3 linked regions of the Saccharomyces cerevisiae S288C genome follow. The protein of the gene in region 3 binds, or shares a complex with, the protein of the main gene of each other region. Each region holds a gene or a part of one and is shown on either strand. Other genes may lie near its edges. A codon is read from its position in the direction of its gene.

Region 1 (3,076 bases), on a different chromosome or scaffold from region 3:
TAGATAAGGAAAAAAATTGAGGATACAGCATCCGGTGGTCGCATAGTTGGTAGCAACATCCATAGAAGAACCTCAGATAAATTTCAAGCTTGTACGAATTGCCGCGTTTATTACAAACTATAGAATTATCGCAGCAATGGTACGTGTCTGTTCCTGCAAGCGTTAATTCGATTGATAGATAAAGTAATTCATTAACCTTTGCGAATATGCTCTTTACTGTTAGGTTTCAGGATTTTAAAAATGAAGCAACTTTACTAACATCAATATGCAAATAAATCTGCAAAAACTTTTTTTCACAGGGCTAACTTGCGTACTCAAAAGAGACTTGCCGCTTCTGTTGTCGGTGTTGGTAAGAGAAAGGTTTGGTTAGACCCAAACGAAACTTCTGAAATTGCCCAAGCCAACTCTAGAAATGCCATTAGAAAATTGGTCAAGAACGGAACCATCGTCAAGAAGGCCGTTACTGTCCACTCTAAATCTAGAACTAGAGCCCATGCTCAATCCAAGAGAGAAGGTCGTCACAGTGGTTACGGTAAGAGAAAGGGTACTAGAGAAGCTCGTTTACCATCCCAAGTCGTCTGGATCAGAAGATTACGTGTCTTGAGAAGATTATTGGCCAAGTACCGTGACGCTGGTAAGATTGACAAGCATTTGTACCACGTTTTGTACAAGGAATCCAAGGGTAACGCCTTCAAGCACAAGAGAGCTTTGGTTGAACACATTATTCAAGCTAAGGCTGATGCTCAACGTGAAAAGGCTTTGAACGAAGAAGCTGAAGCTAGAAGATTGAAGAACAGAGCTGCTCGTGACAGAAGAGCTCAAAGAGTTGCTGAAAAGAGAGACGCTTTGCTAAAGGAAGACGCTTAATTGATTACAAATAATTAGCTAAGAAATTACGTACCTTCTCATTGTTCTATATATGTTTTATTTTCTCTAAAATGTACCAAATACAATAATAGTTTCAAAGGAGCAGAGAAAGAAACTAAGGTGAAGGAGACTGTTCGTAGAATAAATGAATATTGATTAAAATTTTCTGAAAAAAAGAGTAATGAAGTCGTAGTCATCGCTAATGTACCGTAAGTGAGTTCTGAAAGGAGGCGGGTTCTTGTTTCAACGTAGCTTGTCTAGTCCTTTATGGCATCGTGTAAAATTGGTATATATTCAGAACACCCAGGAGTGAATTGATTTGCTGCTATAGGGGGAAATAAGATGTAACGATATTTTTTGTACTGAATTTCTTTGATGATACTGCCAGGATTGAGAGTTTGGTTGCCACATGTACGCTTAGGACACTCATGACTATCACTCCTGTGTATCGCTTCCATGTCGTATACCCACTGGCCGATTCTCACCCTCTGCATTGTATGATATTACTAGTATTGCTTGTTTCAGGGGCAAGAATTTTCACTAATACACTACCAGTTTATGATAGCTTATCTACATCCTTTTACTGCAAAATTATTCTGGATTTGCAAAATTATTCTGGATTTGCAAAAGTTCGGCTTCACTATCAAAGCGAAAGGTGACCTTTTTATCGTACCTTTAAGAAAGATAGGCATAAACAATACTGTGTGGCAGGAAAAGATTTGATGAAGACCAAAAACAGCATCGAAGTGCTTTGCTACGATTTCTTTTTTTACTCTCCGGTTATTTTGAGCTATCTTGTCATTATATCTTTAAATTTATATATTTCTTTGCCCAGCTTTTAAGCGTTCACTGGAATTGCCCATATGTTCACTAAATATAAAACTGATTATTCTCTCCTCTATATTGTCATCTCGGCAGAAAAGCTACTTTTAAATAAGTTTTAAACACCAGTTTTCTGCAATGATAAAAATAGCTACTTTGGATAGAGGCTGAGGCCTAACTAGTTGGAAGAAACTACTTAGGGATCCTTTGTACGGGAAACTTTTTTCCGCTGTTGTAATTGTATCATTGTCGTTGTTCATTTTTCAAATCCAGGCAATGAGGAAGTTTTGAACCAAAAAAAATAAAACCGAAAACAGAGCAACTTTAATTATAGTACGGCATATAAGGAAAACAAATCCAGAATTCAATAAAAGAATACAATACTTTCGAACACATATCTCACGCTGATAACACCCTAGCAAGTATGCTTTTCTTCTCCTTTTTCAAGACTTTAGTTGACCAAGAAGTGGTCGTAGAGGTATGTTCATAATGATTTACATCGGAATTCCCTTTGATACAAGAAAACTAACGGGTATCGTACATCAATTTTTGAAAAAAGTCAAGTACTAACGTTTGTTTACCCCTGTTTATTGTGTTTCCACTCAGTTAAAAAACGACATTGAAATAAAAGGTACACTACAATCAGTTGACCAATTTTTGAATCTGAAACTAGACAACATATCATGCACAGATGAAAAAAAATATCCACACTTGGGTTCCGTAAGGAATATTTTTATAAGAGGTTCAACAGTCAGGTACGTTTACTTGAATAAGAACATGGTAGATACGAATTTGCTACAAGACGCTACCAGAAGGGAGGTAATGACTGAAAGAAAATAAGAATTATGCAGTCTATCCTCATGGCATTTTTTCTCATTAGTTTTTTACACGAGTATCATTTTAGGATATTGAGATTATATGTATATGTATATATGTAGGCCATAAGATGATTCAACGGTTTGTATTAATTATCCGGTTCCGAGCGTTAGGAGAAATAACTTGGTGTGATATCTGTCAAGTGGTCATCCAAAATTTTTTTGGCCAGAGCGTAAGCTACGTAGACTGATGAGGAATTCTTTTTTTTTGCCCCATTTTATCCCAAGAAATTCATTATGAGGTTTTGTTTTGTTTTACTAAATGCGCTTGATGGAAAAGCGAATGTCATGAAATGCAGATCAACACTCCAATAAAAAAGTAAATGTTTTTAAAGAAGTATATCACGCTACAAAAATTCATAAGCACTATATTTCGAACGTTAACCTAAATCTCTCCCACTAAGAAAATGGATAGAAATGTATATGAAGCCTGCAGCAATATAATTAAGGAATTTGGAACACATGTAGTGAGCGCCGATGAAGTACTCGCAGAAAAAATAGATAATGCTGTT
Region 2 (2,921 bases), on a different chromosome or scaffold from region 3:
TAGAATTTTGCTTTTTGGATATACTGCCAAGGCTGCTTTGCGCTTTTTTGTGATTAAACTCCGGTACTGTAAAATTTCCATGTTGTGGTAGAGTATTGTATATTGTACTGTCACTTTGGCCTCTTGATACAGGATTTTTTTTGGCTTTTGATTTTCTTATATTTGTATGAGTAGAGGAAACACCCCAGCCAGAATGAGTGTCTGATTCCTGTATAGAAGTGCTGTGATGGGGATGCTTTGGGTCCAGCATTTCCGAAGTTTTACTTTTCAGGTTGTGAACAAAATTTTTGGACTTCAAAGAAAACGATCTTGAAAGTTTTTTGTTTGGAGAGGGTGCTACTTTTTTATGCGGCAATAAGTTATCTGCTGTTTGAGGCCTGCTGAAACTTCCATTATCAGACAAACGTAATGTCGATGAAGAGGTTGATGTTTTCATTTCTACGGTATCGGTTCTTGTAATCGGGGAGACATGATTCATAGATTTGGAAGTTGACGTTTGAATACCTTGAGATGATTTGTTATTTTCTTTCGTAGCTTCTGATAAAGTTAATGCCAGTCCATGCGGAGGTTCGACCTCTTCGTTCATTTGTACAGCCATAGGGCTGTTCAAAGGACTTGTAATTTTATCAGTGCTATTTCTGGGTGTGTTGACGATGATTTCATTCTCTTTGTTGTCTGTATCATCTTTGTCTGTCTCTTCTTTATCATAAATTGAAAAGAATCTATTCGCGTTCGAGTTCGAATTTGGGATCCTCGGATCCTTTACCACTATGGAATCTCGATTTGCTCTTTGTGGTTTTAATAGCCTATAGGTTACGTCTTCACCCATTTTGTTGATGTAGTCCTCATTATCCACCAAACTCTGCTCTTCAATGCTATTACTATCGTGTTCCAAAGTAGAGTTCAGAATGTCGTCAATAGAAACCGTCCTTGCGTGAGAAGATGTTTCCTCCCTGTCCTTGCTGTTATCATTATCATTATTGTCATTCAACGATGATTCATCTCTTTCTTGTGATACTAAAACTTGTGGAGTGAGCTGTTGATCCTCATTCGAGCTTACAAGGTTCTTACTTATTGCGGTGTTGTTTGTACTGACATCTGACTTACCATTTATTCTGGTGGGTGACAAGGGCCTTTTGACTGATCTTTCAGGAAGTTTTATGGGAAAATCTTCTTTCGATGAATTTTTTGTTTGATTTTCCAGTAATAGTTGTTTTTTTCTCAACAATTTCTCGTGACAATCCATACAACATAGTCCTCGTTTTGTCTTTGCATACTTTAAGTTCTTTATACGGTTGCTGCACCGACAGCATCTGAAACAATTGGAACAATAGGCCTCATTTGAGGAAGGCAGTATAATTGCTGTGTCGTCTATTTTATCGCCACAATTTGTACATTTATCTGAGCAGTCGTAACAAATTAATGTACCTATATCCAGAACCAAAAAGTCTGAATCTGCGTTCAATTTTTTGTCACATTTGTAGCATGTAAAGCACTGGTCATGCCATTTTTTGCTTTCTAATTCGTATACCTGGCTAGACGCGATTGATTTATTGCACCTCACACATAAAGACGATTGGTCATTAATAGGGTCAGCTGACATATTTTTTTCATCAAAATCTCCTTGCTCTTGAGATGCTACGTTATATTTCACTTTATTAAAAGTACAATGAACTCTTGGTAATAAAAGATAAGGATTAGAAACGCCAAGTATGCAAAGATGAAATGTTAATCAATAGGGGAGTCGACTGATCGATCTTCTGGCTAACATTCTCCAAGGAATGCCAATTTTCATATCTCGACCTGATACTGTTTACCCGAATGGGAAACTAAATTGACGTGCATTATCATTACAATTAAAAGTTACTGAAGCGATGCAACGATTTAAGCACAATTGAAGCGGCATAAATCGAATATCACTGTGGCTAATTAACTGGGTTATGTGTAGGAAATAAATGTTATTACGACTATAGGCCTTTCTTTTAGCCGTTTAATGTAAGATATTTCTATTATTAAAACATTTTACCCGGGGGCAGCTGTTCGTGTACAATGCCAAATAAGCAACGTCGCAGCAACCCATTCAATAATGCACAAGACGCCATATTAACGAGAAAATATGGCATTGCACAGTATAAGCAAAACAAGCAGAGATTATTAGTGATGTCCGGAAAAGCTTCTACAGAGGGTAGCGTTACTACGGAGTTTCTCTCTGATATCATTGGTAAGACAGTGAACGTCAAACTTGCCTCGGGTTTACTCTACAGCGGAAGATTGGAATCCATTGATGGTTTTATGAATGTTGCACTATCGAGTGCCACTGAACACTACGAGAGTAATAACAATAAGCTTCTAAATAAGTTCAATAGTGATGTCTTTTTGAGGGGCACGCAGGTCATGTATATCAGTGAACAAAAAATATAGACTTATCTCCTCTAATGGATTAATATGTAGGAATGAGCAAGTTGGTTTGACATAAAGTTGCATTTGCGAGTTTAGCACGGATACACACAAACACACCCATATCTATATACATATATATATATATGTGTGTGTGTATATCGAATAGGATCGAACAGTTTTATTTTAATGAATTTTTATGAATATATATTGTAAAGTTTACTCTCCGTCTCATTATTTTTATGCTTTACTAAAGAAAAAATGAATAGAGCCAGAAAGTGACGGAGTTTCCTTATAGACATATGAAAACAACGAAATTTTGTTCTATCACTTATGTACTCCTTTCAATTTCGCTCAAAAATTATTTGGATTTACCAAAAAGTTTTTCTTCTCTTTGCATGTTTGGTTTAAAAAGGCTTAAAATAAAGAATTTTCTACAAAAGTAAAACTCCACGTTCAATGCTCTTCCGCACCTTTATGATGTCTCAAATGAAAATAATATTCCATGGAATAGCCAAAGGCAA
Region 3 (2,990 bases):
AGCTTTACAAGCCAAGCGCATGTACTCCATTGTTCTTAGCGTGCTACCAAAAGAAAAATGCAGGTGCTATAATACATACACACTCCCAAAATGCTGTGATATGCTCCTTGCTATTTGGCGATGAGTTCAGGATTGCTAACATCGAACAAATCAAAGCAATTCCAAGCGGAAAGGTGGACCCTGTGACCAAGAAACCCATGGCGCTATCGTTTTTTGATACGCTGAAGATTCCCATCATTGAAAACATGGCGCATGAGGACGAGTTGATCGATGACTTGCACAAGACTTTTAAAGATTATCCAGACACATGCGCCGTAATTGTGAGGAGACATGGCATTTTTGTTTGGGGTCCGACAATCGATAAGGCCAAAATTTTCAACGAAGCCATCGATTATTTGATGGAGCTGGCCATAAAGATGTACCAAATGGGGATTCCTCCCGACTGTGGCATTGGCGAAGAGAAGAAGCATCTGAAGATGGCCAGTCCGTGACGGGTTAATGCTTAAATTTATTGTATGATTTATATACTTCTATACATGGTATTATTATTATTATTATTATTATTATTATTATTATTATTATTATTATTACTATTATTGCAACTATATTATTTTGTCTTTGATTCGTACACTTTTTCCCATATTACATGCTCATTTTCGATTTTATTCTTGGTGTCCTTTAGCATTGGGACCTTCTTTTCGTCTATAGGAGCTAGACTGTCATCATTTTCTGCATCTATGAGGCCAACAAGAGCAATCTCGCTGCCTCGAAGTAACTGTGCCTTGCAGATGAATTCCTTGCTTATGCGGTTGAAAACATTGGTTATGAATAGATTAGTATTTTTGTCGAAGCCGTTTAGGCTTGCTATGAGGCATTCGCCGTCAACTTTGATTATAACAACTCTTTTATTTAAGTAGTCTTTCAAGGTGGCTGACATGGTGCACGATAGTGTGTTCTTCTTGTATGGTGTACTGTATGCAGCTTGCTGGTCCATCTTATAAGAACCACGTAAGATTAGTTTTTTTTTTTCCCTTTACGCCATGATAGTATTTTCAGGACTTAAAGGGAAAATCAACAAGAACAGAAAGAAGGAAAACAAGCAAAACAAGGATACTGCAGACGTGTAGAAACATTTAGTAAAATGGTCGCTAGAGGTAGAACAGACGAGATATCTACAGATGTTTCAGAGGCTAATTCTGAACACTCGTTGATGATTACAGAAACATCATCACCGTTCAGATCTATATTCTCCCACAGTGGGAAAGTAGCGAATGCAGGCGCTTTAGAGGAATCGGACAAGCAGATACTGGAATGGGCAGGTAAACTGGAATTGGAGAGTATGGAGCTGAGGGAAAACTCTGACAAGCTAATTAAAGTTTTAAATGAAAATTCTAAGACATTATGTAAATCGCTAAACAAGTTTAACCAGCTACTGGAACAAGATGCTGCTACGAACGGTTCGTACCAACACAGTGCATACCCTCAAGTTTTTTATTCATTTTCTTCCAAAACACATTTACTAACAACTGTAGTATAGGAAACGTGAAAACCTTAATAAAGGATTTGGCTTCCCAGATTGAAAACCAACTGGACAAAGTGTCAACAGCAATGTTATCGAAAGGCGACGAGAAGAAGACAAAGTCGGATTCCAGCTACAGGCAGGTATTAGTCGAAGAAATAAGCAGGTATAATTCCAAGATAACGCGACACGTAACTAACAAGCAGCATGAGACGGAAAAGTCGATGAGGTGCACCCAGGAGATGCTCTTCAACGTCGGCAGCCAACTGGAGGACGTGCATAAAGTGCTCCTGTCTCTATCCAAAGACATGCACAGTCTACAAACCCGCCAGACTGCTCTAGAGATGGCGTTTCGAGAAAAGGCAGATCACGCCTACGATCGCCCGGATGTGTCTCTGAATGGCACCACACTCCTGCACGATATGGACGAAGCCCACGATAAGCAGCGTAAGAAGTCCGTGCCGCCACCAAGAATGATGGTCACAAGGTCCATGAAACGCAGAAGATCCAGCTCCCCAACCCTATCCACCAGCCAAAACCACAATAGCGAAGACAATGATGACGCTAGCCATCGGCTGAAGCGTGCGGCCAGGACCATTATTCCCTGGGAGGAACTAAGACCCGACACTCTGGAATCTGAGCTGTGAAACGGGCGTCCTGCTTTTTCATTCTACACAGGCATATGTAACAGCAGTGTATAGGCTATGTAAATCGGCCCAATCAACAAACAAGCGTTGCTTATTGGACTTGCTACTACCCCAACAAAGGAGAGAGCCTTTGATTGCATCCTCGGAAGAGACGGCATAAACACCGAGCCTCATCCTACAATGAAAAACCACGCCAGTTGGATATAAACCAGAAAAGGGTTTCAATTCAGTATCCACCATGAGCAAGACAAGATAAGACAAGATTGCATAAAAATGAGTGCTTCCAAAATGGCCATGTCCAACCTAGAGAAAATATTGGAACTGGTTCCTCTTTCGCCTACCAGTTTTGTCACAAAGTATCTGCCTGCCGCGCCCGTAGGGTCTAAGGGCACTTTTGGTGGAACGCTGGTATCACAATCGCTGCTGGCGTCATTGCATACTGTGCCATTGAACTTCTTCCCCACATCGCTACATTCGTATTTCATCAAGGGTGGTGATCCGCGGACCAAGATCACGTACCATGTGCAGAATCTGAGAAACGGTAGAAATTTCATCCATAAGCAGGTTAGTGCTTATCAGCACGACAAGTTGATATTTACGTCGATGATCTTATTTGCCGTGCAACGGTCCAAGGAGCACGACTCCTTGCAGCACTGGGAGACGATTCCAGGCCTGCAAGGTAAGCAGCCAGACCCTCATCGTTATGAAGAGGCCACTTCGCTTTTCCAGAAAGAAGTTCTGGACCCACAGAAATTGAGCAGGTATGCCTCATTGTCCGACAGGTTCCAAGACGCAACCTCGATGAGCAAGTATGTGGATGCGTT

Evidence for each region.
Region 1: the proteins of LSM8 (region 3) and LSM2 are in contact, whole or in part, in a crystal structure (PDB 4M78), measured with the Saccharomyces cerevisiae proteins. Residues at the interface, in NP_012556.2 of Saccharomyces cerevisiae: Met1 (codon at 937), Ser2 (codon at 934), Ala3 (codon at 931), Thr4 (codon at 928), Leu5 (codon at 925), Asp7 (codon at 919), Tyr8 (codon at 916), Ile16 (codon at 892), Val18 (codon at 886), Asp19 (codon at 883), Gly20 (codon at 880), Lys32 (codon at 844), Asn33 (codon at 841), Thr34 (codon at 838), Arg44 (codon at 808), Gly58 (codon at 766), Ser59 (codon at 763), Glu60 (codon at 760), Ile61 (codon at 757), Ala62 (codon at 754), Leu63 (codon at 751), Val64 (codon at 748), Gly65 (codon at 745), Leu66 (codon at 742), Ile67 (codon at 739); in NP_009527.1 of Saccharomyces cerevisiae: Phe4 (codon at 2,123), Lys8 (codon at 2,135), Val11 (codon at 2,144), Leu19 (codon at 2,296), Asn21 (codon at 2,302), Ile23 (codon at 2,308), Ile25 (codon at 2,314), Ser31 (codon at 2,332), Val32 (codon at 2,335), Asp33 (codon at 2,338), Phe35 (codon at 2,344), Lys39 (codon at 2,356), His53 (codon at 2,398), Leu54 (codon at 2,401), Gly55 (codon at 2,404), Ser56 (codon at 2,407), Val57 (codon at 2,410), Arg58 (codon at 2,413), Asn59 (codon at 2,416), Ile60 (codon at 2,419), Phe61 (codon at 2,422), Ile62 (codon at 2,425), Arg63 (codon at 2,428), Thr66 (codon at 2,437).
Region 2: LSM8 (region 3) and LSM6 share a complex: the UniProt entries of both Saccharomyces cerevisiae proteins name them as parts of the spliceosome U4/U6-U5 tri-snRNP complex.

Annotation. Positions count from the first base shown.
Region 1 is NC_001134.8:168,510-171,585, forward strand, and holds LSM2 (Sm-like protein LSM2), read left to right. Parts: upstream 1-2,113; coding exon 2,114-2,167; intron 2,168-2,295; coding exon 2,296-2,529; downstream 2,530-3,076. Other genes in the region: 60S ribosomal protein eL19 RPL19B, read left to right, coding at 300-867; RRN10 (Rrn10p), read left to right, coding at 2,972-3,076. UniProt on the Saccharomyces cerevisiae protein: Component of LSm protein complexes, which are involved in RNA processing and may function in a chaperone-like manner. Component of the cytoplasmic LSM1-LSM7 complex which is involved in mRNA degradation by activating the decapping step.
Region 2 is NC_001136.10:1,228,849-1,231,769, reverse strand, and holds LSM6 (U4/U6-U5 snRNP complex subunit LSM6), read left to right. Parts: upstream 1-2,160; coding exon 2,161-2,421; downstream 2,422-2,921. Other genes in the region: GTPase-activating protein RGA2, read right to left, coding at 1-1,603; ATP17 (F1F0 ATP synthase subunit f), read right to left, coding at 2,854-2,921. UniProt on the Saccharomyces cerevisiae protein: Component of LSm protein complexes, which are involved in RNA processing and may function in a chaperone-like manner. Component of the cytoplasmic LSM1-LSM7 complex which is involved in mRNA degradation by activating the decapping step.
Region 3 is NC_001142.9:467,731-470,720, reverse strand, and holds LSM8 (U4/U6-U5 snRNP complex subunit LSM8), read right to left. Parts: upstream 938-2,990; coding exon 608-937; downstream 1-607. Other genes in the region: methylthioribulose 1-phosphate dehydratase MDE1, read left to right, coding at 1-491; REC107 (Rec107p), read left to right, coding at 1,142-1,457, 1,538-2,166; TES1 (palmitoyl-CoA hydrolase), read left to right, coding at 2,440-2,990. UniProt on the Saccharomyces cerevisiae protein: Component of the nuclear LSM2-LSM8 complex, which is involved in spliceosome assembly. The LSM2-LSM8 complex plays a role in the biogenesis of the spliceosomal U4/U6-U5 tri-snRNP complex by accelerating PRP24-mediated annealing of U4/U6 di-snRNA.